Caenorhabditis elegans: one gene and its partners. The protein of the gene in region 1 interacts with the protein of each later gene in a biochemical or structural test. Each region holds a gene or a part of one and is shown on either strand. Other genes may lie near its edges. The genes, in order: dpy-19, unc-5 and mig-21.

What was found.
Region 2: of the proteins of dpy-19 (region 1) and unc-5, one has a biochemical effect on the other in vitro, tested with the Caenorhabditis elegans proteins (one study listed by BioGRID).
Region 3: of the proteins of dpy-19 (region 1) and mig-21, one has a biochemical effect on the other in vitro, tested with the Caenorhabditis elegans proteins (one study listed by BioGRID).

The regions. Positions count from the first base shown.
Region 1 is NC_003281.10:8,661,579-8,672,043, reverse strand, and holds the start of dpy-19 (C-mannosyltransferase dpy-19), read left to right. Parts: upstream 1-4,561; 5' UTR 4,562-4,568; coding exon 4,569-4,671; intron 4,672-4,678; exon of another isoform or gene 4,679-5,163; coding exon of another isoform or gene 5,164-5,247; intron 5,248-5,363; coding exon of another isoform or gene 5,364-5,457; intron 5,458-5,498; coding exon of another isoform or gene 5,499-5,605; intron 5,606-5,663; coding exon of another isoform or gene 5,664-5,883; intron 5,884-5,928; coding exon of another isoform or gene 5,929-6,032; intron 6,033-6,147; coding exon of another isoform or gene 6,148-6,483; intron 6,484-6,581; coding exon of another isoform or gene 6,582-6,698; exon of another isoform or gene 6,699-6,706; intron 6,707-9,208; coding exon 9,209-9,321; intron 9,322-9,369; coding exon 9,370-9,507; intron 9,508-9,592; exon of another isoform or gene 9,593-9,645; intron 9,646-9,650; coding exon 9,651-9,862; intron 9,863-9,910; coding exon 9,911-10,060; intron 10,061-10,151; coding exon 10,152-10,416; intron 10,417-10,465. Other genes in the region: pgl-2 (P granule abnormality protein 2), read left to right, coding at 524-847, 1,215-1,388; F22B7.1 (uncharacterized protein), read right to left, coding at 5,164-5,247, 5,364-5,457, 5,499-5,605, 5,664-5,883, 5,929-6,032, 6,148-6,483, 6,582-6,698. UniProt on the Caenorhabditis elegans protein: C-mannosyltransferase that mediates C-mannosylation of tryptophan residues on target proteins such as unc-5 and mig-21. Mediates the attachment of alpha-mannose in C-C linkage to the C2 of the indole ring of tryptophan.
Region 2 is NC_003282.8:5,522,827-5,533,178, reverse strand, and holds the start of unc-5 (Netrin receptor unc-5), read left to right. Parts: upstream 1-4,840; coding exon 4,841-4,922; intron 4,923-5,253; exon of another isoform or gene 5,254-5,274; intron 5,275-5,538; exon of another isoform or gene 5,539-5,559; intron 5,560-6,476; exon of another isoform or gene 6,477-6,497; intron 6,498-6,809; exon of another isoform or gene 6,810-6,830; intron 6,831-7,271; exon of another isoform or gene 7,272-7,292; intron 7,293-8,307; exon of another isoform or gene 8,308-8,331; intron 8,332-8,393; exon of another isoform or gene 8,394-8,414; intron 8,415-8,886; exon of another isoform or gene 8,887-8,908; intron 8,909-9,365; exon of another isoform or gene 9,366-9,386; intron 9,387-9,528; exon of another isoform or gene 9,529-9,549; intron 9,550-9,763; exon of another isoform or gene 9,764-9,784; intron 9,785-10,021; exon of another isoform or gene 10,022-10,042; intron 10,043-10,347; exon of another isoform or gene 10,348-10,352. UniProt on the Caenorhabditis elegans protein: Receptor for netrin (unc-6) required for axon guidance. Mediates axon repulsion of neuronal growth cones in the developing nervous system upon ligand binding.
Region 3 is NC_003281.10:5,873,449-5,882,741, forward strand, and holds mig-21 (Abnormal cell migration protein 21), read right to left. Parts: upstream 4,933-9,293; 5' UTR 4,805-4,932; coding exon 4,640-4,804; intron 4,591-4,639; coding exon 4,346-4,590; intron 4,302-4,345; coding exon 4,183-4,301; intron 4,127-4,182; coding exon 4,028-4,126; intron 3,886-4,027; coding exon 3,572-3,885; 3' UTR 3,499-3,571; downstream 1-3,498. Other genes in the region: F01F1.3 (MIF4G domain-containing protein), read left to right, coding at 1-121, 642-756, 806-952, 996-1,154; aldo-2 (Fructose-bisphosphate aldolase 2), read right to left, coding at 1,326-1,550, 1,602-2,353, 2,691-2,772, 2,832-2,873; F01F1.2 (COX assembly mitochondrial protein), read left to right, coding at 5,111-5,255, 5,312-5,416, 5,488-5,581, 5,627-5,768; hpo-10 (SAC3/GANP/THP3 conserved domain-containing protein), read left to right, coding at 6,163-6,167, 6,397-6,481, 6,531-7,030, 7,100-7,481, 7,605-7,736, 7,783-7,926, 7,981-8,442, 8,494-8,724; F01F1.14 (uncharacterized protein), read right to left, coding at 8,983-9,197, 9,242-9,293. UniProt on the Caenorhabditis elegans protein: Required for determination of left/right asymmetry in nervous system. Acts together with unc-40 to control an initial left-right asymmetric polarization of the Q neuroblasts.

The DNA of each region.
Region 1 (10,465 bases):
TTTGCCTACTTTAAGCCTGCCTAACTGCTCACCTTATGCTTACCCCCGTGCCTACTTCGCGCCTTCCTCATGCCTACCCTAGTACTGCAAACTTTCTTATCTCAAATTTTCCTCATATGCATGCCTACCCGCCTACCCCTGCCTAAATTGTCCTGCTATAGCGATGCGAACGTAGCCGACATCTCACTGGGTTTCAGCAAAGATGTCGGCTGCACCACATTTTCCCTCGACACACACACACACTCCCCAACTTACAGAGAATTAATTGACATTTAATGCAACGATGAAATTAATGGTTTTTACAATTCTGACGAGTGTCAGTTATACAAAAATGTGAAATAAATTGTTTTTTGATAAAATCGATTTTTTTTTTGAAATTTTTTCCCACGCTGCAAAATGTAAATTTTTATAAGAATCTAACCTCAACAACGTGAAAATTTAATTATTTTTCAGACTATTCCTAATATTTTAAAGCAACGTTACTTTTAATACGAAAAAAAAAATACATAATTCATATTTTCAGATTCCTGGGAGTCAAGTTTCGAACGATGTGATTTCTGGAAAAGTTGAAAATGCTATTTCATGCGCAATTTGGATCGTGAAAACATTTGGAACCGAAGGCTCTAGAGACTCAATCGAAAAACTTCCATGGTTCGATAGTTCGGTGGAATTGACAGAATTGATAAATTCCATTGAAATTGCTGTAACTTCAGTGGAAGTTGAAGACCAGACAGTCAACTTCAGAAAAATCCCACAAAAAGATTGGTTGGATGGAAATTTGCAGAAAGCATTAAAAACGGAGCCAACTTCTGAAAAATTCGGAATTTCGAATTCACTCAAAATTAAGGTAATTATCTGAAAAATTCATCCTTCTGAAGTCGACGTAAAACAACCCCAGATCCATGGGTCTCGTTAGGTATTTGGCGGCAAAATCTTAATATCATAAAAAAAGATGTTTAGAAAATCAATTTCTACATAAAAAACTATTGCAAACGGCGGATAACATTAGAAAACAGACGAAAAATGCTTGAAAATTCGTTAAATCTGCAAAACGAATTGAAAACGTTTAAATTTACAGCTTCGGCCCCAAATACCTAACGAGTCCCGTGATTCGGGGGCGGAGCGTTGTTTTGGAAAAGTCGCATTTTTCTGCGTTCCCATAAAAGCTAGGAAAGTGTTAGAAAATTTTTTAAATAATAATATAATTTTTCCAGGACGAAAATCAAAGAAATCAGATTCGGGGATTCAAAGATAATTCCAAGGAACCAAATGCCAAAGTTTCTGCAAGATTTGGCTCGAAATTCCAAAGAGTGGATTCTAGTACCAAGAGACGTCTTTTCGGTGGAGTAGGAGTTGGAGAACCACGTAATTGTAGAGGATTCCTTTAATTGATTATGCATATTTTTAATCGTATTTTTTTAATTAGCATTTTTTAGCGTATCTTTCCTGCTTTTTTGTTATTGTTGTTAAATTTAATTCACAGATAAAGTTTCAGTTACATATCAATTGCTTTGAACATTTTTATTTGGAAATAAAAACGAAAGTTTCGCACAAATATCCGTCCAAATATGCCTGACTCGTTCTAATCCATTCGGTGTAAACTGAGAAAGTGCCGAATAATATGAGAAACCATTTTCATCGAAATGCCTAATAGTTTTCGAAGAATTATTATAAAATACATTATTTCACTAGTTGAGCATTTCTTCTTCTTGCTTGCTCATAGTTTTCTTGTTTTATCAGTAGCTTCTGAAAACTAAAGCCTATGAATTTAATTCTAATTCAATTAATGCACAGAAGATTCCACACTTCTTAATTTCAAAATTAACAACGAACTATAACGCAGACGCGAAAAATTGTCATTTTCGCGCCAAAAATACGGAGCCCGGTCTCGACACGACCAATTTTCTTTTAATGCAAAAAATATGTGCGCCTTTAAAGAGTACTGTAGCTTCCAACTTTTGTTGCTGCGGGATTTTCAGTGATTTTCCTATTTTTCATTGTTTCTACGTGTTTTATTTTAGTTTTCAATAAAGAAATCAATTTTGTTGAAAACTATGAAAAATAGATGAAAATTCCGCAGTAACAAAAGTTGGGACCTACAGTACACCGAATAAATATTTCAATAAATATTTATCTACAATTAGAATTTGAGCACTTTTGTGAAGAAGGACGATTGTTTGCTGGAATATATTAAAAAATAATAATATGTCTAATTGAATTGATATTTCTGTATTAAAGATGGATCATCTAAATTTGATTTTGGAAAAAGTCAAACAAATAACTATTGGGAACAAATATTCTTCCCAAGAACTCAAAACGTATCGTATAAAAACGAATAACTCCATCAATAATAAAAACGGCTCGAATGCATTTTTCCTCATTGGTCAACTCAATACAATCTTCATTTTCGGTTTGTTCTCACTTCAAAAAAAAACATCAACTTTTGTTCTCAGTAGAATCCTGAACAATAGAAGAGGTTTTTTCCATTTGGAACTTTTTTCCGAAGGAATCGAATATGCTTCGATTTTATCTGAAAATTTATCCAAAGAATATACGCCAAGAGATGGAAAATGTATTTTTAGTATGGAACATTCCAAAAAAAAACTATACAAATCAAATCAATTTTCCAACAATTGGAAATTTACCATTCCATATTTGACTGAAAATTTCGAAAAAAAAACCAAAATTGTTTGATTTTCACCAGCCTGAAAACTCGAACTGACGTTTTTATATTCGCACTATTTTCAGAGCCTGTAATTTCTTCAAAGGCGGATTTCACAGAGTTTTTGTAGTTTTAAGCTTGTCAAGTACTGAGCACTCTGCAGATCGTTTGGAAATTGAGAAAGTTTGAAAAAATTGAATTTTGTTGATCTCGATCTTTATCGGTTTTCCATTGTGGTATTTCCAAATTCCAGTCTTTGTTGTGTTTCAAAACATCATCCGCATCAACGCTTCTCCATCATTAAACCTAATTTTTTGAAATTACTTGAAGCACTCAAAACTCTCTAAAAATATCTCAATAGAAGAATAAAGCATAAATAAGTGTTGTTTCATTCAATTCTATCTCCTCCTTCTTTACTACAAGAAGAGGACAGATCTATTGTGTATTACTCTCTATCGGTATGTCTGCGTCTCTGTAAACCCTAGTACTATCTAACTGGCTACCTGTCTGACCGCCTGTCAAATGGATTGGATTCAATGTGTAGAGGAAGAGGATTCGGTTAATGTTTTACTCAAACTATCATGTTGTGTTCCCATATTTTTTTGAAATTTTAGTTTTCACTTCCAAAATATTTTAAATGCTCGTTGTATTTGCTTGTACTGTTTGCTGATTTGTTGAGTCATTTTTCTGGCTTTTCCCTGAACTCTTGGATATTTTTGAAACAAATCATAAATATATAAATCTTGAAACATTTCTCGAAATTTTTTAAAGAAATAACTTAACTTGTTTTAAATACATTTTTTTAAACTGTTAAACTGTTCCGGATTTGTTCGAAGTGTAAAAATCTACAATTTTTAATTTTGCAAAACCCTGCAAGTTTCCCCTTTCTAATTATATTTGTTCATACTATTTGCTAATTCCCTAATAGATTCCCTCTAAAATTTCAAATTGTCCGTGACTTCATTCTCTCTAAACAAAAATCTCTGAAAAAAGAAAAAGCGTCGGGTTCGAACAATTGAATTTCCTTTTTTTTCGTTGGGAAAGAGGTATCTCAAGCTGTGTTTATTTTCATGTAAATTGAGTATTTTTCTTTTGAAAAATGGGCAAAAAAATCGAAGTCTCTTGGTGAAACGCCTCGATGGAAAATCGTATAGCTTTTATGGTTTTTTTCTCAATAAACATAGTCTGTCTGTCTTCATAATCTCCTTTTTTCATGTTTAAAAACTAATTCCCACTATTTGAAATTGCTTTACCAAAAGTGCAAAGCCTTCAAAGTCAACTTAAATTATTTTCAGCTAGCAAATTGAAAAGTTCAACGTTTTATTTAATATTCTAGTAGATTATACATAGTTCAATTATGTTCTACCTACTTTTTATTTTTCTCTTGACATGCCTGCCTACTCACCAATCACCCATTTTTGCATTTTTTACTTTGGTGTTTGGTGTTTGCCTTTTCAATTCATTTGATAGTTCTTTTTTAAGTTTGAAAAAAAAACTTTTTGGCAGTAGGCATAGGTATAAATACCTCAAAAATCAGGTAAGAATTTTTTACCTACAGAATACCTGCCTACAAGACACGCTTCCCTTACCTACTTTATCGCAATTTTAATATCAAATTTTAGGTAAATGAAAAATTTAATATTTTCCCACCCCTATCCTTTTTGCTAGTTTCTATGTTTTCCTTCTATTTCTCATATATTTTCTCAACTCTAATCTCTATTCTAGAGAAATAACATATTTTCAGTCCTCACTAATTTTTTTTCACACTTTTTCTCCCTCTCTTTCTCTCTCTAAAACCTCTCCTTGACATTTTTCTGTGCTGTTAACTAATCAGAACGGATTTAGTATTTTTTTTTTTCGTTAATTGTTTTCTCAATTCTTACGCTGTTGTAATTCCAGACAAAAAATGGCAAAGAAACCCAAGAATTCGCCTGAAAAATCAAAATATTCTTCTGATACTTCTTCCTCATTATATTCGCAAACTTGGCTTGCTTCCGTTGTAATTATAGGTGAGTGAACAATGTTTTATTCAAACTAAAAACATGAAACAGGAAATTAAATTCAAAATACACGTAACAATAGAATGAGAGGAAGAGGGAACAAATATGCATTCAAAGTGGCAAGAGTTTGAGATTTTAAAGCTGGAGCAGCGTCAGTGGGGGATTTTTTTTTAATATTCATAAAAGTTTACGTGGCAAAATATCATAATAAACTTTTTGAAATGTTTAGATTCGGTAAATTGGCATGTCTTTGGAATATTTAGGTTTTCCAACCAAATAATGTACTGTTATGAAACACTTTTTAAAAAACCAATTTCCAAATACCAAAAGTATTGTTCACAAAAGCTGAGAATTCCCAGCTTCCGACAACGAATTTCGAAAAAAATTGGAAAAAAATGTTTCTACGCACCATATGAATAGTCAAAAAAAATATTCCGATGCCACTCCAACTTTAAATGAGACTGAAAACAAATGGAGGAAGAAGTCAAAAAGAGGGTTTTTCTAGAAATCATGATACTGGCCTCGTAGTGGGTCAAAGCAACGAGCAAATGTGTCATTCATTATGTCGAAGAAATGACGAATGTCCTGAAAGTTTAATATAGAAAGCTACAATTAAAAACAATTTAGAACTTTGCACCCATTAGCAGAATATCGAAAAATGCGTAAGAAAATTGACAAGAACTATCTAAAACATTGGTTACCTCTTGCTCTTCATGACTTCTTGACTCTATAACTGCTTTGTAATAATGTTTGAGTGAGCTCAGAACTCCGTTATCTCGAAGGCGTTGAAGAGCTCTAAAAATCTAACGTTTATCTATTCAATATAAATATCTTACTCCTCCTCAATGTCACTTCGCTCATCTAAAATAGCTTGTAGCGCTTTTGGTGGGCGATTTCTGTGCAACCATTCGTCGAGTTCACTGCTTTTCCGATTTTCGCCAAGCTGAAAATTAATTCGTTTTGGGGCTTTTGACATTTTTTAAATATCTAAATTGACTCACTCTTTCCCTAATAATTCCATCAACACTGTCAAACTTGTTCTCATAAGCAGCTAAATCCAAATCAATCCTTTGTTCAAAATTAAGCAATTCCAATGCGTGTCGAACACATTTTGGCTCCATTGCATAACATTCGTTTAATTTTTTCTTTCCATACATCCAAACACTCAGATTTTCCCATAATCTTGCCCAAATTGACATTTTCTCAGTTTCAGAAGATTTTCTGGAAAATAAACATAGTTTTTGATAGACGCTTGATGTTTGAAACCTTTGTGCAAAATACTGCTGAATGGCCATTTGATCAATTAGCGGCAGAAATGGACGTAATTGTTTCAACCAAACTGAACGGATTGCGTTGTATACGGAGGCATTCTAGAAATTTAGTTATAGAAGGAAAATTTGGTATTGTCATATTAAGGTTTTTTTTGAAAATAAAACATTTTAAAGATTAAAGAGAGATGATTTTCCATTGAAATGTCAAACTTACGTGATAACCATTCACCACATCTACAGTAATCTCATCAAAATGTTCCAAATTATCGATTGATTGTACCAAGGATTCATTGATTCTTCCTAAGACATTTTTCTCATTTCGATTCATTTTAACTTTTGAATCGATTACATATTTCAGTTTTTCATAAGTTTTATCTTTTACATAGGCTTTCAAAGTTTCTCTATCCTCTGTTGGTAGATCGAGTACAAATATGAAAAGTGGTAAATATGTCTCCAATAAATTGAATTTTGGTTTGTCACTTTCTTTTTCTTCGGAAGAAGGGTCATACATTGTTTGGTTATTGTTTAATAGTGTCGAATTGTCTTCTGCCTGAAAATTAAAACATAGAATACGGGAAAAGAAAACGAAGATGTGCCGAAAGTAGGCATGCATGCATTTCTGACATGGTAACATTGGCAAAAACCAACCAGAATAACTAGAACATCATCTTTTTCGGGAGGTTCCTTTCCACTTTGTTCCTCATCACTTTGTGCCAAACTCATCATAAATAAGAATAGGAGTAATAAAATTGCAGGCGTTTTCATTTTCCCTTAAAAAAAACTTTAAAAATATGAAAAATAAATAGGAAATCAGTGACATAATAGAAAAACAAGAAAATTCGGATGATGTTTGAAACTTTTGGAGAATCACACGAAAACTGGAAATTGAGAATTGAAGAAAGGACATGCGATGGCAAAAATAATTCAACCGAAATCCAATTATCATCTATTCAAACAAATTTCTGAGCGAAACATCACAAGACTTTTTTGTTCTGGAAGCTTGAAGGGAAAAAAGTGAACGCACGTGACATTAAATGCATCTGGAAATTGGAAGCAAGAGTTTATGCGGAGAGCAGATGAAAAAAAATTGACTTTTGTGAATAGAGCATGTGACTGGGTTTTGAGTAGAATGCGCTTTTAGGATGAATAAAAAGAAATGCAGAGTTTTTATAATTATATTTTGAGAATCTATTGGCTACATACCTGCGCACCTACGTGCCTGCCTACCACCTACTTTTTTAAGTTTAAGAACTTTTGTTAAACTTTTCTTGCAGGTGCACTTGCAAGGATATTGAAAAAAAAACTAGTGTAGGAAAAAGGCAGGCGTTGGACACTATGAAAGAAAACAGTGTTAAAATGTTGTATCTTCATAAGAAATTTTCGAGGAGTCACATTATGAAATTCGGTCTATTGGGATCATTTTGAAGATATTGAAGCAGAAGTCCAAAATTGCTACGCCCCATTTAAGAAATTAAATGATAGGTGCGCAATATAGGCACAAAGCAGATATTTATTTTTACTTGGAAGACTTCAAAAACGATTTTTTAATTGTTTTGAATATACGCTTTAAGATGAAACGGCCCTACCAAAACGAATAAATCAAAGGAACAAAAATAAATGAGATAATTAGTGATATTGACTTGAAATGATTCCTAGACTGAACGCTTCTATCATCTAAATCATTATGCCCACACTTCTTATTCTATTATCTATTTTCCCACATCATTACATTCATTCATCTCATCATTATCGGTCATTATCTAATTTCTCTGCGCCTCTTTATTAGAAATTATCACTGTCATACAGGCTTAGACAATATTAAAAGACACTATGTTTGAAGTGATATCCATTTTAATCAGAAAGTTTCCATTCAGTTTCGGGATGTGATTTCTCATACAAAATTGAAAAACCCAATTATTAGGTATACCTATAGGTTGCAAAGTTTTAGTAAAAATGTGAACAGTTAAGCTATTACAAACAGTAAGTAAAGTTCAAGTTGCTATTGCTCAATGAGCCTCTAATACAAACAAAAATGAAAGTGAGAACTGAGAGCAATATGTTTGAAAACTGGTTCTGCTCTTGCTCACACTTTGTGTATTGAACATTTTGACAGAAAATTTGTAGCCACCTGTATTACCAAAACTATTTGCTCACTTTGAATGCTTTTTTTTGGAAAAAATTCAAGTTTAGTGAGGTTATTTTTGAATATACTGTTATAGAATTGATCGTTTCAACATAAAATTTTAGAACTATTAGATTCGGCGAAATTATTAAAAAAGAGCATTTTTTCCAGACACTTTGAAGAAAGAATCGAAATTGAAATGATTATATCTGAAAAACGGAAACTTGCCAGAATTAATAATAACGCCTAATTGCTTGACCTGAAGCTTAATTAAAGTTTTTTTTAAATTTGAAATTCGCTCTTATAAAGAATGAACAATTTTTTAAAAAGTTTAAGATGTTTGACTGATTGTCGGATTCGTGTTTTGTTAGTTGAGCGTGCTTGCCAGATTAAAAAATAAGAAAATTATCTAAATCATATCATTTACTCTGTTACTTATGTTTCAAAACTTTAAATCTTGAAACATTGAACCTTAATCCTTAGATGCTCTCAATCTCTAAAAACTAGGGAACGAAACGTCAACAGAAACATCAACATATTCAACGAAACTTCCTGTGTTTGTGTCTCGTCACTGACGACGACACGGTTTGTTCAAAGTGTCTAAAGTCTCTCCGATTCATAAACTATTTCCACAAATGAACTGACATTTCGTCCCCAAAGTCGATAATTACAGAGAGAGGGGGAGGTAGAGAGGGACAGAGAGAGAGACCTCTCTCTCAAAACTGGATGTGTTTTGAATTGCAAAAAAAGGGAAATGGGAACAAAAGAGTAAAACTAGGAGAACCAATGAGGATTATTAAGAGCAATTGGGTGGGGAAACAAATTAAATACTTTTTTAAGAAAACTATGTTTTAATAGTAGTTATTTGAAATGGGGTGTCCATGTAGGGTTCAAAATGTCTGCCTGCTTACAACACCTACCTACTGACCTACCTGCAGATTTTTTGCTCTTCATTAAACTAGAGCCGTATCAATCTCTAAAGTGGTCCTGTTCCACCCGGATATGGCATGTGACCTGACAGAAAAATTCAGAAAATAATTAGTTGGCAGACAATCATGCAAGTTACAGAAATAGTCTTCTCGGATCTTTATCAAACTTGCGACAAATTATTTTACGCTCAAACGAATTTCAATACAGTTTTTTTTATTTTCAGGACTCCTCGTTGGATACATCAACTACCAACATGTCTACACATTATTCGAAAACGACAAACATTTCTCCCATTTGGCGGACTTTGAACGCGAGATGGCATATCGAACGGAAATGGTACAGTTTTCTTTAAAAATACAAATTCAAAATTTCTTGTTTTTTCAGGGTCTCTACTATTCATACTATAAAACAATAATCAATGCACCATCATTTCTTGAGGGTGTTCAGGAGATAACACATGATACTGTGACAGAACATGGACACGAGATTAACACACTAAATCGATTTAATTTATATCCAGAGGTGAGTCGCAAAGTTTTCACATTGTAATGTTTTCCGTCGGAAAAACCTTTGGCAAACTTCTAATTACCACAAGAATACATTCACCTGTATTACATTTTCTCTCAATTTCCTCCATACCTAAAATCCTTCCAAGCTTATTTTAGGTAATCCTTGCATTTCTGTACCGCCCATTCCGAGCATTTGCCAAATCAGCGAATTGGCAAATCGAACTATGCTGGCAAGTTAATCGAGGAGAACTTCGGCCTGTTGAAAGTTGTGAAGGAATTGGAAATCCTCATTATTTCTATATAACCGGAGTTTTCATTGTGGCTGGAACTGTAGCTTCATCCATTTTTTATTTGGGTGTTCTTGTTAGGTGAGCGACACAAAAATTATTACTTTTAACTAAATATATATATTACAGTGATTCAATATTCGGAGGATTCTTGTCAGTATTATGTTTTGCATTTAATCACGGAGAAGCAACTCGAGTTCAATGGACACCTCCTCTTCGGGAGAGCTTTGCTTTTCCGTTTATTATCGGGCATATTGCGATTTTGACATTTGTTATCAAGTAAGTTATGACAAAAAAAATGACGAAAATGCGAGACGTAGCAATGCTAATTTTCTTTGGCATATGATGTTCTCAAAACTCATTTTTCCAGATATAAAAAGTCTGGTCACTCAATGATTCTTCTTTTAACTTCCATGGCAGTTCCAGCTCTTTTATTCTGGCAATTCACCCAATTTGCATTTTTCACACAAATTTGTTCAATATTCTTAGCGTTTTCACTGGATCTGATTCCATTCTCTACTGCTAAAACAGTAATTCATTCTCATATCATTTCATTTCTCATTGGATTTTTGCTGCTTTTTGGTAACGAGATGATGATTACTGCATTGTATTTTCCAAGTATTTTGGCATTGGGGGTAAGTTTTCTATTGAATAGAGAAACTAAAAATAGTTTATGTCTCTTAT
Region 2 (10,352 bases), on another chromosome or scaffold:
TTTTTCCGAATCGTTGTGTAATAAACGTATTATATGTAACTATATTGCACACAGATAATAATCTGAATTTCCCGCGATTCAGAATTTTATGGGACCCCCGAGAGCGCCATCTTTGATGTAGCGAATAAAGAGAGTTGTACTTGAGATTATAGGGTTTTGACTAACTTACTATGCTTTCTTTATTTCTACATTATTTTAAAGGCACACAGCTTGCAGAGATTTCAGGTCTTGCAGCGATTTAGTGGTCTGTAAAAACTGGCTGTAGACTAATATCCGCGTTAACTGTATGAATTTATCTAACTTTTGTGAAACAGTAAATAATTTTCTCGAGATTTTTCAATTTGATCGAAATGGAAGAGCTACGTCTTCAGGCGTACGTGCCTACCTCTTGCCTGCAAAGTTTTTGAATTTTGGTATGAATTCCCCTGGTTTCAATTAGTTTATCGAAATTTGAACATGTTTACATACATTTTTGAAGTTGGCAGACTTGTAGGCATTAGGCAGGCAAACATTTTTTATGCCTACATAGAATAATTTTTTGATTACTTTATTGAAGTCGAACGAAATGCACGTGATTTATGTTTTTCCAAATTCCAAAAAAAAATACCGTTTCAAGTTTCTTGGAAAATAATTGAACTGGCTTATTTTTTACAATCTCGCGAAGTGAATTATTTTAATTTAAAAATGTATCATATGTTAGAGAATAATCAAGCCATTTTTGAGTTTAAAGCATGGTTTATAGGAGTCAAATTGCTACGAGCTAAAAATTCGGCTTTGGATTTTCGGCCTGAATTTATTAATGATGTGGGTAATAATCGGTTACATGTGCCTTTAATGTCTATGTTTTACCAAATTCCAAAAATTTTGAAAGAAGTTTTTTTTACCGTTTCAAGTTTTTTAAAAAATGATTGAGCATTATATTATGATTAATTGGTGAATCGGTCCCGGTTTATTAATATTTATTGAGGAAGTTGAAACAAATTTCAACTCGTTTCAGTTTTTTGTTCACAATTTCTAATTTTTGTATCTTTCTTGAGGTTTTCTTCTATATTTTGGCATTAGGCACGCGTGTAGTCATGAGGCATTTGTAGGCCACCTTGTAGGCTAAGGATTTTCGGTACTTGTGTATTATCGGAACGCAAATTAAAATTAAGCTAAATCTAAGTTCTTTCTCCATTTTAATAAAATATGTTTTGATGAAACATGCAGCTTATCTGTGTAAGCTTAAGGAAGCCTAAAAATAGAAAACAAAAAACTTCACTCGGTGCTATGTTTAAAATATTTAAAAATTTGATTTAAAATTTCGTTCCGATAATACACAAGAACCTTAAATCTCTACGTTTTACAAAACTCTGAAAACTTTTGGAAAAATGTTTTACTGTTTCAAATTTTCTTCAAAATAATTGAGCAAACTAGTACTATTATTATTGCGTCATTTGATTTTGAGAATTATAAATCTAGAATTTTGAAACTAATTCCATCGTTTTCTTCCACAATTTTTTTCCTTCAATTTCTGTATTATTTGCAAAGCACAGGGTTTTATGAATTCTAAATTTCAACTAAAAATCTGTCACAAACTCTTGAGTTATTTACAACCCAAACATTTTTCTAACCATTTGTTCCAATCTTCTTCTTTTTTATATTTTGTATCTCATCACCTGGAGCCAAGAAGAACTCACCTGTGAAGATGAAAGCTGATGGAGGCGGAGCCTGAAGAAGTGATCCCAGGTGATAAGAGAGTGAGATGGAGAGTCCCACAAAAGATTGACATTTTCTAAAGATTTGTGGAAAATAACAAGAAAAATCGGTCGAAATTTGTTTGTTTATGTTTTCAGTTTCATTCCTTTTTTATGTGAAACTTTTTTTCAAAAAAAAATTGCTGTTTCATGTTTTCTATTTCTTGTTTTCTCCGAAATTAGCAGTGCTGTGTTAGATATTTACGTTACTGATTAACTGATAACTGGAAATTATATGCATCTTCCTACCACCATCTAGTGATAAGAAATTGGAAACGCTCTTTTGAAACATTTTATGTTCCATAATAACTTGCCAACTTAATGACCAATTTGGCAGACAAGCGTGCTGAAATTGCTTTATTTTAAGAGATATCAAATTTAAGGAGACAGTTTATATAGTAGTGTTGTAGAAAAAATAGAAAAAAGAAGGGTGTGAGTACTACTGAAAATTTGATGGGAAATCGAATCACTTGTTGTCTCTTTTTTTTGGGGGGACAATTTTATTTGAAAGAAATTCGTGTTTTTTTTCTCTGTTGCAGTTTTATTTCATAGTTTTGCTATTTTTATATTCGCCGTTATGAATTTAATTGTGAGATCATTTTCCCTTTCCTAAATTATCCCTAAAATTATTCCTAAATTATTTGCCAAAAAAATTAAAAGAATATTAAAACTGTGTGAAGCGGCTAAATTTTCGAATTTCAACATTTTGAAAATAATTTTTTTTTATTTTCGGAGTTAAATGTTTTTATGTACTTTTTGACCTGTTAGACCAATTTTCTTTAAAATCTTAATAAACCCTAATACACCGATTTCAAAAATCAAAAGAATACAATTCAATTTAAATTTCTTTTTAATTTTCTGATACCTTTTCAAATTATATTTAAAAAAAATATATTTTATATCTGCTCAAGTATTAATTTTAAGTTTATACAAGCGTGTAAGTACGTTACCAATAAAAATGTTTGAATCATTTTTTCAATTCAAAATTTAACTTTTTGTTTTCTACTTGAAAAATCAATTATTGCAGTTTTACAATGCTTTCAAATATCAGCCTAACTTCCGATATACCATTGTTACTGCTATGCTTTTCTTGATTACATTTTTTTTCTTTATATTCATTGTATTTTCAAATCTGCAAAACTTGACAAAATAGAAGCGAAAACTTTCTTGTATTATTTTTTTTGAAACAAGTGCAAAACAGTAGTCCAAATATTTGTTATCTTATCTTGTTTTTTTTTATTTTGTCAAATGTTTTTGTTCAAACCTCTCAAATAATTTTTAAGACACCTATTATTCAAATTTGTAGTTTTTCCTTCCAACCCATGAAAACCTACAGTAACCCTTCAGGGAATCTCCCGCCTTTACCACGAGAATTTCTCTTTATTATGTTAATTTCAAGTTTTTGAGTTAGGCGGTACTCTTTTCATTCACTTGCTCAAATATTATATTTTCTCACAATTTCTCACATAATCTTGCTCTGCTTGACACATAGGACGATTAACATTGAAAGTTTAATAAAATTATAACATTTGACTTTGAAACAGTAATTTTTTTAAAAAAGAAATGTTCAGATGTCACTAACATTTCAAAAATCATGGTTTATTTATCAAAATAATGAAACAGGCTTTTACAGAAAAAATTGTTCTCTAGCTAACATCTCTAGTGAATAGTAAGTATTTTCAAAGACGACTTTTCTAGAATCTGCGTAACAATGGAATTCAAATTACCACTCCCCATATAATGATCTCTAAAAAATGTTTTTAGAAAAATTTTCCATTTTTTCAGATTCCATGCTTTGTTGTCTTAATTTCCACTATTTTCTATTCCTTCAGAATTCAATCACTGAAGATGAAGCACACATTTTTTTTACAGTTTCAATTGGATCTTTTGTGAATTAAGAGTATTTTTGTTTTATTGAATCCATTATTGTTATTGAGACAATAAAGCTTATGAGTTCCATGTAAGAAAAAGTTGGTCTGAATATTTATCAAATTCAAAATTCTTCAATAATTGAACGGGTATTATTCCAATTCTAATACAACTGTGAAATTATATAAAATTCATCAAAACTATGAAACATGTTTTTACTGGATCAAATTTTCTCTGGATGATTTTTTTTCATCAAAATCAATTTTTTCTGTATCCTGATTATATTCAAACTAAACCAAAGTGTGCAAATTGAAGAAAAAAAATCAACTCCCTTTTTTTAAGTTCGTTTAAAATTCCAATAACCTCCTATTTGTTTGAGAATTTAGTTTCTTGAAGCACAAAATATTGTTACAGTTTCAGTAAGGCTTCTTTTAAATTCAGATTTTTCTCCGACATTGCCTCGTATGATACCTTTGTATTTAATCCGAAAACAAATTCTTGAGTGTTCTATGATTGTAAAAAAGTCAAATAAGTTTTCTATGAGAAAATACAAAAATGTCTCTGTAGGTGAAGTGTAATAACATTGCAAACAGATTTTTACAGTTTTTTGAGCAGCAAGGAGTTTACATATCAGCACGAAACATCACGAAAAAGTTATCTAAAACTTTTTTCTAGATAGTTGAAATTTATAAAATTTATTTGTCTGTTTCAGTAGATTCACTTTATTTAATGCAACTTCAAGACCATAGTCGTATGTCAACAATTGTAACCCCTATATTGTAATTAAATTAAAAAGTTGACTGTTTCACCATGTTTTTTTTCAAAATGTAATTTCAAATAAGTTTTGATGTTCTGTGGTTTTTCGTTCCATTTTTTAAATAAGAAATAATTTTGGATCATTGAAAAAAAATCAGTTTAGAAAGTGAAAAAAATCTATAATTACTAAGTTTACAGACAGAAAAGTTCACTATTTTTTCCAACCCAAATCTAGAAAACATTGAACTCTGTCTGTGGTCTGGTTGGTTGTCCAATTTGTATTTTTCGGACCTTTATCCTTTCTTTAACATCTGGTTTTTATTACAAGAATCGCCGCTCTCTCTTCCTCTTGTTCACATGTCTTCCGTGCTCACAAAAACCTTTTTTATTTCTTCACGGGACCTCCACAATTTTTTCATTTTGATTTTTATTCTTTCCATCAGTTTTTCCTTTTAATTTGAAAATTTGAAATTCTACAGATGGAGGACGACACGCCCGATGTGAGTTCAGATTCCAATGGAGATGCAGCATACAGCGATTATTTCTTGGACTACAAATCAAGTGAGTTTCTGATTTTTGAATTAATCCCTCTTATTTTATCCTACTTATAAAAAAGTTAAGGACTATCTTTTCTTTGTTTAGAAAATATGCCAATGGGTGCCCCCGGCAGGGGGTAACGGGGGTAAATATTAGGAAGTATTAAGAGGGGTCAGTGAATTGTTTGGTGTTAGTTTCAAGGAGCTATGACACTTTTTTTTGATGATTTGTCAGTAAATACTAGATTTGTTTTACTTTTGGTATCTGTATGGCCACGGTTTGAACATTTAAAAAATTTGAAAAAAATTACTGTTTCAGAAATTGTATAAGTATTTTAAATTTCCTTGTGATGTGATTGCGTTTGTTAAAAAAACATTTATAAAATGTTTATATAGTTTTGCAAAAAATTCTGAACTGTTTTCCCAAAGTAAAAATTCCCTCCGACGAGGAGGCAGACTCTCTCGCTTTGCAGACTGCCTTCTGTGTTTTTTTATAAAAACATTTCTTGAAACAATAACGTTACTTTAAAACTTACCTCAAAATTATCTTTGGTTGTAACATTTAAAAATCACGTGAATTTTGCAGAGATTCTATACATTTTCACAATTTTAATAAAGTCTGATCTATGAAACGTTATCAATCACACCTCTCCTTAAAATTGGGAATATAACGGAAAAGTTAACAAATTAAAGTTTAGTCAATATTTCTAAAAATTAACATTTCAAGAAAAATTTGATCAAGCAGTCATAATATACTCTAGCGCTTTCATTGATGGCAGGCAGGCGTTTTAATTTGCCTAACGTCTACCTGCCTTTTGAATATCCATTTTTATTTTGCTCTTTCATAAAATCAAACATGAGTTCACTAGCAGCCGACAGTATCTAGGTCTTGCGACTCATCATAAAACTATAAGTAGGCACAGAAACAGGCAGGCATTCTCTACCTTACTTCAGTTAGTCCCTTTCTCCAATTTCTTCCGTTTCCCACTCACTCATACATCATTGAACCTTTGAGAAGGTGTCCCATCTCCAAAGACACACGTGCCGCCACTTAATCCCAATTCTCGCCAGAACTCTTTTCACCACCACCACCAGTTGCTTCTTCTTCTTCTTCTGTTGTTTTTTTGTGTGTGTGCTCACCTCTTTCCCCTCTTCTCCAATCATCACCCATTCACACCACGGATGACTAGGTCCGATGATTTTTGCCGCCAAATGATATTGTTGTAACGTTTCCTGAGTCAATGATGATGACGACGTACCTGGAGGGGGGGGGGGGAGCGGTATTCTCTTTTTGATGGACCCCCCGTACATTCCCCCACAGGTATACCTTAATGTCAAATGTCAATCAGAACGAAAATATATGTTGTTGCTTTATTAAACTGTTGACATGTGTAAACAGAATATTTTACTTACGCATTAGTTTACTTTATGGCTCATAGATTCTCCAGTTGATAGATGTTGTAAAATTGGGAGAGGTTAATGGGTGAACGGGAGTGGTGTCACCTGTTTTCACATAGTTTGTATTATGACACTGGTTGCGATAAAATTTCAGTTTATAATCTGATAGTGAGGTCCAGCCGCGATAAAAATAAAGATTATACTAATAAATACGAGTATCGTTACAATATATATAAGATAGATGAAACTGTAAAAAATTTGAAATTTTTTTTTCAAATTTTCTTATCAAAATTTATATTCCCGCGATAGCACGGATTTTTAGAAGGACTATCTCACGAAGGCAAATTCTGAGTGCCTGCCTACCTTCAAGCTGGCCGCGCCTGGCTTTCTTATGCAGGATTTTTTAATTTATGGCGGAAATATACATACTTTGATGGTCTAGAAGTTTTAAACGTCATCCGGCGTTCGAAACAAAAGTGAAATATAAATTTAAAGCAACAATTATTTTAACTAGTACAAACCATTGGCGTATGAAATAGATGCAGTTATCTCTACAAAGTTTGAAAGTTATATGAAACTGTAATTTTTTTTTCTTAATTTTTCAAGTTTTCCCAACAAAATAGTTAAAAATTCTGTTTCCATGAGAGCATTAAATACCATATTTTCTTCCATTTTCTCCATTGTAGAATAGATTCGGGTGCAGATTATTCGAATCAGATCTACGATTAAAAAAAAATCAATTCAAAATTCAAATAATAAAAGAAAACAAAACTACTAACCTGTAAATTGGCAGTAGTCTATCTTTTGTGTGGTGCCTACACTGAAATTTTATTTTGTATTATGTTTTACATTGGTAGCGTTAAACACAGAAACAGAAGCAGCATCAATTATGAGAAAGTGTAAAAAATTGAAAATGTTAGCAATTATTTTACTGTTTCATATAATTTTCAAACATCGTAGAGATAATCGCATTTATTAACATCATGGTATCATCGTTCAAACAATTTATTCTTTCATTTTTGGTGATTTATCCAAAAGCTGTTAAATTCTCAAAATATTAATTTTCTTAAGTTTCCCCTAAATCAACTTGTTGTAAATTTTTTCAAGCTATCTGAAAATTTGCTAAAAATGGATGATAACTAGAAAAAATCGTTAGATTTAGCAGAATATTTTCCAGACGACTTTATTAAAACACTTGACCAACTTTTTGCGGTTAGAACTCAATCAATTTCCAGTATTCTTGGGAAAATTCAAAAAATGAAATTTCTGTTTTATGAAACTTTTAAATATTCGAAGACTTTATAACCTTGATTAGTCTAGATTTATCCTTTTCCAAAGTATTGTAAATGTTTCGAATATGACCATAAGAACCCCCAAATTCTATCTATTTCCGTCACAAAATCAAAAATCCTGGTGTTTCTGTGCGTCTCTCCGGTCTCTATCACTCTCTCGAATTATTGTGAAACGAGCAGTTGGTTTAGTTGGAAAAGAGCTTTCGGGTGTGATTTTTATGATGAATCGGCGGTTTTCTGGGGCGAAAAATAATCAAGAAAGTTGAGATGTATGGGAGGATGAAGTGGCAATTGGTGAGGAGGAGAAGCATGAAAAAACCAACAACTGAAAGACGTCAATGAGATGGAAAAGAGTGTAAAATTATTAGTGGAAACAATGATTGAGGTGGAAAATGAGTATATATATTTTTAGGGTTTTTGAGAAAACAGGGATAGTGGCAAACACTGGGAAAGTTTGGAGGAAGGGATCAGGAATTGAAATATACTACTCCCTACAGGTAATCAATTTTTTGTAGGCGTACGTAGGTAGAATAGCCAGCCTACATGGCGTTTACCGAAAAAAATTCAAGTTTTTTAAAATTCTTGAAATTTCAAGAAAAACTTTCTCATTCAACTTTTCCATATTTGGAATTACTTTTATCTTACGGAATTACATAAAAAAAGTCAAATTTTTATATGATTGTGTTGCTAAATTACAAAAAAAAAATTAATAAAGAAGTCGTTTGAATTTGATACAATGGAACAATAGAAAGTCAATTTTCTATGATTGATACAAGTTTATTGAAACAGTAATTTTTTGGAATTTCGGATAAACATGTTTAAAGTGATTAGTTTTACAAACTCACTGTTAAGTATACAATAAACATTGCTGAAACCGAAAAAAAAAGATGCTTTAAAGAATATAAGATTTGAAATTTTCTTCTGAGAATGGATATTTGAACTGCAAAAATGCAAAAACTTTTAAATTAAAAAAATAGGCCAACGAAAAAATGAATTACAGATAAAATCATTTGAAATTTCTGGCTTGATCTCATTAGCCCCGAGTTTAGTAAGTAGATTGTAATATTTTTAACATCGTTTATTTTTCTTCAAAAATGAGAACAATAAATTTAGAAACTAACAAAAGACATTTATTATCACAACACATATTTTCTGTTCAAAATTTCGAAACTCAAATTTTTCTCTTTCCAGATGTTTATAGGAGAACTAAAAAGTGTATTTGGAAAGTTGTTAGTTTGCTGTTAATTTTTTTATTCAGAAAACCAATAATTCTTAGAAGCTACAAATTATAATAAAGGCGCTGGCAAAAAAATCAATGGAATCAAATATATGAACTGTGAAACTTTTTTGATAACCTTTTGAAACAGTAAATTTTTGTACCGAATTTTTTTTGACAAGTCAAACCGCCAGTTTTAAAAAATCTAAAAATATGGGCATTCTTTTATTTGTTTCCTAAAAAATTCCTGGGATTCTGGATCAAAATTCCAAAAAATAACCAAAACAGCAAAACAGAATAAGTTATATTTGAAGAAACCTCGAAAAAATTCAATTATGATGCAGACTAAATTTGTACACCTCTTTTTCTAAATATAAATAATTTGAAACTGATAGGAATTAAAATATGTTATGTCTCCAAATTGCAGAAAAATAGTATCTTGGACTGAAGTCTGACAATTCAACTAAATTACCGAAATTCAAGATCATCTCTTAATGTCTTGATCAAAATTGCATGCTTGATAGGATTTGATATTGCATTCACATGATATACCTGTGAAACTCAAAAAGCGGATGGGACCCAATCAGAAAACCAGAAATTGTTAAATTTTCTCAAAAAGTTTTGAAACAGTAAATTTTTTCCAGTCACTTTTTTTTCGGAATGTCAAACCGCCCAATCTAAATAATGATGCTCATTCTCTCTATGTATCCTATAATTACCGTACATGAACCCAAATGTAACTGTCATTATTATATTCAAGACAATACGACATAAATAAGGAGACAGATACAGTAAGCGTGGTTACAACAGCAGATGTTGTTGCTTTTCTCTCCTCTTTTATTCGAATTACACCATATTTTACCTCTCTCTTCACATTTCTAATATGGTATGACAGAAGATCAGTGGTATCACAACGTTTTTTTGATTCGATTAAGATTATAGTAGTTCCGTTTCTCTGATTTCCCTCAATCTGCTGCTTCATCCTCTTGTTTTCTTTTTGAATCATTTTGGAAGAAGAAGAAACAGAAGAATTGACCTTCCTTCTTCTCAATTTTATTGTTTATAGACTCATCATGAGTATGTCCTTTTTAGAGGGCAAAAAGGAGCCAGCCGCGTCATTTCTCTATTTGATTTTTATTTCATTACGCATCATGTTTATGAGCGTTTTGAAAATGGAACGATTGTTTTAGAGATTCAAAAATATAGTTTTCTTTTCGGTCGGTAAATACAATGATAACAATAAGCGAATAACTTCATATGTTATTTTAAGCACCTACTGAAACACTGATTAATTTTCTTTGAATCAGTTAATCTATGTAAAGTAAGACAAAAGCAGATAATTTTAACCGATTAAAGTTTATTTGGAAGTTGTAATATTATACAAACGCTGTCCCAACCAGTTAAAGTTCGGAAAAATGCCAAAAATAATGTTCCCAGATTCTTACGACCTATTTATGTAATTGAATTCCTTTGAAATACTTCCAAATTCTAGTAAAGATTAAATTATTTTTTAGTTATGCTTATATTTCCCAGTTCCAGTTCTTTGTAC
Region 3 (9,293 bases), 2.8 Mb from region 1:
CAAAAGACATTTCATTATCCTCAAATGTGTTGGCTCTACTACTCAACGACTACCGTAACCGGCTTTCAGTTCGAAACGATTCTCGACTTATGTTCAGGAATTGTGTGAAGACACTTTTTTCGTAAGCAATTTCCAATTTTTTTTTTCGAAAGAAACTATCGTTTTATTCCAATTTTCGAATGTTTCTTGTAGTCAGACACGCAATTTTGATATCATATGATATATCATGTTGAGGTATTGTTGAATGAGAAAGGGTGTGTGCCTTTAAAGAGTACTTTAGTTTCAAAAACTCAACACTGCAGAGCTCTGATGAATTTTTATTGATTTTTCATAGTTTCCCGAAAAAAATATGTGTATTTATTAAAAACTCAAAATAAAAAAAATAGAAATACATAAATACATTTTAACAAATCGTGAGGAAAACTATTTAAGATTTTGAAACTACAGTACTCTTTAAAGGCGCACACCTCTTTTTAGTTAACATAAGCTTGTCGTGGCGAAACCAGGGACCTTATTTTTCTCACATGAATCGTAAGTATTTGCTTGCAAAGAATATAGAAAAAAAACGCGAGAACTGGAATTTTCCAACAGTAAAATTAGTAGTTGAAATTCGATGAATTCATATTGAAATATCCGTTCAGAATGTATCCAGTATATGTGAAAATGGACGAATGTGTGTCAAAATGCTTCATAAAACCAATGTTCTCATCTTTGGATGCACTTATTGATGATGCTCCAGATACCGAAGATCTAGAGGTTTCCACAGAAACATTTTTCTGAAAAATCTAGAATTTTTTAATTTCAGACAGCCGGGATACTTCTCAGCGAGAATGGTCGCGTTCTTCACGATTTGAATTCATATCTCGTCGAACGAATCATTGTAAAATTGCGTCATAAACTTATCAGTGAAGATCCAATTGTCACTAAACATGTCCGTCAAATATTCATTCATGTGAGGAAGATCAGAGAATGATCAATTGATTATTTGATTTTAGGTGTATGATCTTTGGGCATTTGGATGGAGTGAGCTGAATATTCCTGAATGTCTTCTCACTTTGAGTGCAGAAGGGAAGCTATCGATTGTTGATCAGACACCACTTCGGAAGAATGATATCAGCAAGCAAGAGTTCGGAAGCAAAGAGAGCATTGTTTGAATATATTGAAGTAGATCCTTAATATTCCCACTTTTGGTGATTTTTAGTTTTCGGGTTTCATAAAATATAAAATTTCGGTGAAATAAAACTTCATTTCGGGGTCAGTGAAATTATACAATCTTGGGGACGAGGTTGCGAAAAATCTATTCACAGGAAGTTATGCGTCATCGCTTAATAGGAATGCTTGGCAACGAAGAGAGACTCGGCGGCGGCTCCAGCTGCGTCTTCTCCGGCGTACTTTCCGAGAGATGCATCTCCATTGGCCTTGGAACGGTGAAGGAGTGTCTTCTGAGCGGCAGCGATGTTCTCGTCTTTTCCGCCCCATGCCTTGAGCACAGAAGCTTGAAGAGCACGTCCATAAGAGAAGGTGAGCTTCCATGGCTTTCCGAGTTGAACCTGTAAATAGAAATGAGTGATATAAGGTTATTCCATTTCGTTTAAATTTACCGAGTTAATAGCATTGAGGTTAGCAGTGGCATCAAGTTCGGATTGCCCTCCAGACAGGAAAGTGATTCCTGGAACTGCAGCTGGAACTCCGCGTCTCAAGGCGGTTACGGTAGCCAATCCAATTGCCTCGTGTGAAGCTTTCGACGCGCTCGATTGTCCTGGAGTAACCATGTTTGGCTTGAGAAGAGTTCCTTCGAGATACACGTGATGATCAGCAAGAGCCTTGTACACAAAGGCAAGAACTTGCTCAGTAACCTTCTGGGCACGAGCCAAATCATGTTCTCCGTCGCAGAGAACCTCTGGCTCGACAATTGGAACAAGTCCGTTGGCCTGGCAGATAGAAGCGTATCTGGCTAGCACATTGGCGTTCTCGAGCATTCCGAGGTGAGATGGGGTGTGAGTTCCGATGTTGAGAACACAACGCCATTTGGCGAATCCACATCCTCCCTTCTTGAAAGCAGCGGCACGTTCGGCAAGCTTGTCGAGCCCCTGGGTGGTTCCCTCTCCAATGGTTCCAGCCAATGGGACAACTCCGAGATCGAGCTTGATTCCTGGGACGATTCCTTGCTTGATGAGAAGATCGGTGAACTTCTCTCCCTTATCGGTGCTTTGATGGAATGTCTCCTCGTAGAGAATCACTCCGGAGATGTGCTGGTTGAGATTTGGAGTAGTGAACAGGAGTTGACGATACTTCTGACGATTTGTCTCGTTGTTTTCGAGGTTGATGGCATCAAGACGCTTTCCGATTGTGCCTGCAAATTGATCGGGTCACGATGTGCTGCATTATAAAAAAGAAGAAATCGGTCTTCCCCAATATCATTTCTACATGTTATCTTTCTTTCTATCTACAATTTTATCTATCACTCGCACTATCAATGCATCAACATCTCCAATTTCAACAACATAAACATCGAAAATTGGAGGCGATAGAGGGCACAGAATATGATCGCTAGACCGTGAAAATTTATTTTTTGAACTTCTGAACATAAGTCGCTAATTCTTATTGAATAGAAAAATTGTCAAAAGATGATTGTGAGAAGATAAGAATCTCGATTTTCTAGTTCTAGAAGAATTTTTCCAATAGCTCACCAGTGGATTCATCGGCGGCGAGGATTCCCTTTCCATCTTGAACAATTTTGAGAGCGATTTGGTGAAGCTCGTCTTTTTGAGCCTAGAAATACAACAATTAAACTAAGAAGGGCATTACAAAATGATGAATGATCAACAAACCTGGGTAAGAGAGTCCTTGAAAGCGCCTCCGACAGTTGCCATCGTGAAAAATAGAAGTGATGCGAAATGAAATGGACGGTCGAGAAAATGGGGAGGCGGAGAGTGTAGAGAATCAGTACAGTCGCCGAGAGTGTGCGCAAAAACGGGAGACGGCGAACGGGCGGCGCCAAATATTGTTGGCGCGCAGAGAACTGAAACGTGATATTCTTGTACTACTTTAGGATGATCGAAAAATTCCGAGATAGAAAGTTTTGAGGCCTATTTTTAAAGAGTATGTCAATTCGGCAAATTAATCTATAGATAAAGTAGATAAATCCCTTAAAAAAACTACACAAAAATTTTTTTTTAATTAATAAAATTGTGCACAATTTTTTAAAAACAATTTTTCACAATTGTGCAGGAATTATTTTCTTAAGTTTTCGGCTGTTTTCTTATAGAAAAAACCGAAAAATTTGGAAATGAAAAAATGAATCCTAAAATTGAATTTAAATGTGCGGTATTGTCGTTGTTAGTCGTTGGCTTGCGCTGCGAGACCCATTTGCGAAAGTACGCCTCTCTTTAAAAGTATAATTAATTCTGATGTTTTTTCTTTAGAATTTCAGTCTTAAAACTGAAGAGTTGAAGTGATAAGAATTAAAAACACCTCACTCAGAGTATTCGTTGTACAGATCAATGATAACTTTTATTATCGTGGCGTGAGAAATGGGCAGACAGAGACTGTTCTCGAAAGCATCCGAAATTCACCAAAAACTTTCATCTTTCGGGGAACCCGGAGAACGAATCAAATGAGAAGGATAGTCACGTGGATTTGAATCATACGAATAATTCAATCTTATGAATCTCCTTTTAAAACGATTCACAACACAATAAATAATATTTTGAAGAAGGAAACCCGTGAGAATACAAAAACAAAATATTGGAATTGCAAAATGCAAGGGAAGACATGATGACGTGAATCTTGATAAGAGATGGTGTTCGATGGAAATAGAAGAGTTGTGAAGAAGACGATAACGGTATGCAACTCCTGGATGCATATGCCATTCAGACCAGTTGGCTGGAAATTATTCTCATTAATTTTTTATCATGTTGTTAACTAACACAAAAATTTAGACAGTAAAGTGGACATTGTACTTTGAAACTTTCAAATTTAGTCTTCAAGTTATGGTTCTTCGAAATTTTTTAACTAAAATTAATACCATGCTTCATTGAGTCTTGAGTCTCCTTCCGTATTCCCACTTCAGTATTCGCCACGTTTGATGACGAACACCAGGCTGAAAACCGTACTTGCTCAATTCCTGAAATTAAATCATTACAAATTTGTTGATATATTTCAGCGTAATGAGACCCATACCATAATTCACCCAATCTGTCCATTCGGACCATTTTTTACTAATTGGACACTCATCTGGGCGGCAATCTTCGTAATCCTTGTCACATCCCTCGCAGGAATTACCTTTGCAGTGCCGAGTTCTGAAACTTGGGTTACTGTACATTTCCCAATTGTTTGAACCTACCGTATCCTCAGGCTACGATCACAATCGCATCGAGACCATGGATTCCAGGATGTCCAGGATCCAAAAAGATACTCCGGTACATTTGAAGAAATTGCACAAGATTGCTTCTCAACTTTCTGGCCAGAACAAGTGGTACCAATTGGTAAAGGATTATTACACGTTCGTCTTCTTTTTCGGATACCTTCTCTACATTTCGACCATTTTGACCACGTTGACCAACCTCCTGGACGGATGCAATTCCAAATCTGCATCAAAATTTTATTGAATTGGTTTTTATCTTTTTGAATGTAGAACCTTAATTTCTCCGCCTTGTTTCGAACATTCACAGAATATACCATTATTAGATGCACACTTATTAGAGACAACTTGAGAATATAAAATGCTAGAATCATTTAAATTAGCCAACGAATATGAGAAATTGACGAAAACGAAGATATTAAACAAAACCATGACAATCATTTTCTATGAAACTCAGTTCTTACTGAATAAGTGAAATTTCTACACCCATGTTTGTTTCTCTTTTCAGATTTCGACATTCCTTCTCCTTTTCCATCTTTCAGATGTCGCCAGATGGCAGGGTTACTGTAGAAAATTTCACTTTTTGCAGTGTTAGAGTCGCGCTCCATTGCTACGCGTGAGAGATAAGAGACGGCAAAGATCTTTTTTTTTTGTTTCTCGGGCGCTATCATTTTAACTTTTAAAACTAGTAAATCTCATGATTTCTCTTGAAATTTCCATTTATAAATTTTCAAATTTACAGCTAGAATGACGGAAAATAAAGTGAATATCACTGATAACCTGGAAACCTTAAAGGAAGGCGAAATTGTGACAGACGAGAAGACCGGGAAGAAATATCGTGTCAAGAAAAATATTATGCCACATTATTCAGCTGGAGGACCACATGGATTAGGTAATTTTTAAATCAGCTTGCGGTTTTTACCATTTAAATACAATATTTGTTTTCAGGTGATCCAGAAGATCGGACTTTGAGGAAAATCGAGGCAGATGTGATTATTCCGAATAGAATGAATACCCAAATCGAAAGAGTGGATTGCAACGAATCTTATTTAGGTTTGTGAATTATTGAAATCATAAAAATAAAAGCACGATTATATAGAGTTCTATTTCTACAACAATTTCAGGACTCATCACTTGCTTTCGAACCGACGGTGCTGTTTCTGGCTTGAACACGTGTAAACCAGCTCTAGAACTCTTTAATCGATGCAAATATGAAAAGTCTGGTTATTTTAATGTATCTCAAAATAACAAGAACATATTAAGATTCCACGATCCAGCCTTCCGAGCAAAAATGACTGACGAGTACATTGCGGAACGATCGGCAGCTCGAGCTACTGGAATGACATCGCAGCAACGGAAAATTGAAGAGTTTCGGGATTGGAAGAAGACAAATGAGCAAAAGTAGAATTCTTTCTTGTTTTTCATAGTTAATTGTTTCCTTGTTTGTAGAATCAAATACAATCCATTTCTTCTGGTTTTTATACTTTTTATAGTTATTATTGTCAAGTGTTCGAGTCACTATATATTATCTCATATTCTTACCATTTCTTCATTCTAAAAATATTATTTCCAAAAACTCGTTAATTCATGAATTATTCTTTCACTTTACATTTTATTTTTGCCAGAGAATATAATAGTGCAACGACGCTCCGTTGAAAATCGATACGCGCTCTGTTTAGTTGCCAGTAAACTACGAAAACGCTGGTCCGTTAAACTTTATTGATTTTACTCTTTTAACGTTGTACGCAAAATTGAAAATTTTCTGCTAAATAGTTATTTCTGTCTGTTCTATTTCAGATATGGGGTTCGTTATTTTCTTTTTTAATTCTGAATGTGATGTTCGAAGTCGATATGTTTCGCACAAAAATAACTAAAAATTAAATAGTTGCTATTTAAAAAAGTAGGCAGCACCATTTTTTCAAACTAAAGTACTAAATAAATGCTAATTTGGAATTAACTTTTCGACGTGAACTTTTTTTGTCGAATATTATTGATTTTTCCTAATCTCCTTCAGTTCTTCTTTTTCTTTACAGAGAAGAAGTTATGTCAATTCCAGTGCCAATGGAGACAGGAGCAAATTCCGAAGCTTGGAAAAAAGCGAATGAAGCATTAATGAAGGTTTGTAAATATTTCATATGAACAGTTGTTTCAATTTGTAATATTTCAGATTCAAGGTGGAATGTCGAAAGGACTGAATGCATCGAATGGTAACAACAATACAGGTCAGAACTCTTGGATGAACAACTCGTTTTCGTTCCCAAATCCCCCATCCGCTTACGGTCAATTCGGTGGTGGTTTTCATCCATCCACGTGGGGCAGCGGACCGATTGTCCCACCACCACCACCACAACAGTCGGCGGTGAATGCAACTGCTCAAGCAGCTTATAACCAAGCATCTTTTAATTATGCACCACCACCACCACCACAGAATTGGAATAACGGGTACGGAAGAGGGCGTGGCGGAGGAGCCAACAACTGGAATCAGCAACAGAGACCTCAGCAGTTTCAGCCATTTGCCTTGAACAGAAAGAATAATTCGTCCGCATTTCCGCATCTAACTAGCACGTTCGTACCGCAGGGCGGAGGTCCACAGCCATTGATGGGAGTTGGTAGAGGACGCGGTGTTCCAGCTCCAGGACCAGCCAAGCCACCACCTCCATCAGCCCAGTAAGTTTTCAATTAATTATCATCTTTGTTTTTATTGTTGCAAAATTATTCAACATTCTATTTTTTCAGACGGTACATGGAACGTGCTTTCGAGGCGGCGAACACTGTCGAAGATCGTCAAAAAACTCAAGAATACCTTCAGAAGAGACTTTTCCCTATGTTGAACGCAGGCAATGCTCACATGGTCAACTGGGACAATGAACCGTTGCCCCACGAGAAAAATTATGAGCTAGCTCCAGCGTGGACGCCAGCTAATAAGCTTCCACATCAGGCTAATGGATTTAATAGAAAAAAGTCGCCATCGCGACGGCGTAGTGATGAAATGTCTAACAGCGGTGCCGCTGGTGGTGGAGGACAAATGAAACGGGCTCGTCGGGATAGTGATGGGGCATCTTCTGATTCTGACAATAGCGATCCCCTTGAGAAAATGCACTTTTCTTCTATGAATCAGGTTTCGATAAAATTAGATAGGGAACTGGGTGGTGTATTTGGGCACGGAAACTTGAGTAGTTCTGCTGAAATTCATACTTATAATAGATCTTTAAAATTACTAAATGTGACTAATTCCATTCAGAAAAAGACAAAGGCTCAGAAAAAGGCTGAAAAGGCAGCGAGAAAGGCGGCTAAGAAACTGCAGAAACAACAAACTCCGCAAAAAGTCAAGAATGCTTGGAAGGTAGCTGGAGGGGATACTGAGGCTCGGAGGGTAAGTTGGATTAACTGAATTTTTCATTTTCTCGAAGTATTTACAGGAAGATCGTGCTCGTCGTTTTGCCGAAACTTTGTACAATGTTTCGAAGCCATCTGTGAGTGTGCCTCAGCACTATTTCAGACGAGGACAAGTGATTCGTGGAACTTGCCAGAATATTGAGAAATCCTTCTTCAGATTGACAGCTGTAAGTTTATATAGGTTTCATTTTTCAGCATCATTAAACCCAAGCTTATTCCAGGCTCCAAATCCATCGGAGGTTCGGCCACTGGAAGTTTTGCGCCTTTCTCTTCAAAATGTACGTGACAAATATCGTGCGAGAGCAGAGTATTCCTATCTGACAAGTCAAATGAGATCGATTCGCCAAGACTTGACGGTTCAAGTGATTCGCAACGAGTTTACAGTCGAAGTCTATGAAATAAATGCTAGAATTTCGCTTGAAAACGCGGATCGAGAAGAGTTTAACAAGTGCCAGTCGCAGTTGAAACTTCTCTACTCGGAAATTGAGAATTGCGCGAATCAGGCAGAGTTTGTAGCTTATCGTCTGTTGTACTACATTGCTATGGACAATCAAATTGATATCAACGCGCTGCTCCGTGAGCTAACGCCGGAATTGAAGGAGAATGACTGTGTTGAATTTGCATTGAATGTTCGAAAAGCTGTGACTATGAATAATTATGTCAAGTTCTTCAGGCTTTTTAAGGCAAGTTGTGAATTTGACAATTTTTAACTCTTTATAAATTCCAATTTGCAGAATGCTCCACGAATGTGCCCGTACATAATGGATTTATTTGTTGATCGAGAGAGAAAGAAGGCACTCGGAATTATCACAAAAGCTTTCCGACCAACAATCACGTACAAATTGATTGCGGAGTTTCTGAGTATGAAGGAGTCGACACTTATTGATTGGCTCGAGGAGGAACTGAAATGGACTGATGTCGAAGTTGGAGGAACATTTGATCCAAAAATCCCAAGAAACATTTGAATAATTTTTTGTTTTAACAATTTCATCCCATTCTCAATCCCCTCGTCCCGATCCTTGTGTGATACTTCTTCGGTAGCCAACTAACTGTTGATATCCACTTTTTTAATTGTGTTGCTGGTAAAATGTTTAAAAATGCAAAATTAGAATAGAGCTCTATAACATTTATTTGTTTTTGTAACCGTAAAATATGTTTTCCATTGTTGAAACTGAGATTTTCAGGCAGTCATGCGTGTTAAGAATAAAAATGTAAAATAGTAATTAGTGAAGGCATTTGTTTTCATATCCAGGGCAAAATGTGAACAAAGCGGTTTGAAGTCGTTGTGGACGATCTGTCCAAAAGTTGTTGCAGTAGGTATCATATGATTCTCGATGTGTAGCACAGAATTGGGATTCTTGAGAAACTCGGCGCTTTTGTATGGGAAGTGCCACATCGTCACGGAGGCCAATACCAACGAATTCGGTTGAGAGATCATCTAGAAATTTCAAGAATTTAACAATACAATTTCAATTTAAATACCTCGAATTCCAATGAGCGGAAGTGTAACAACTACATTAATCATGACGAAGAA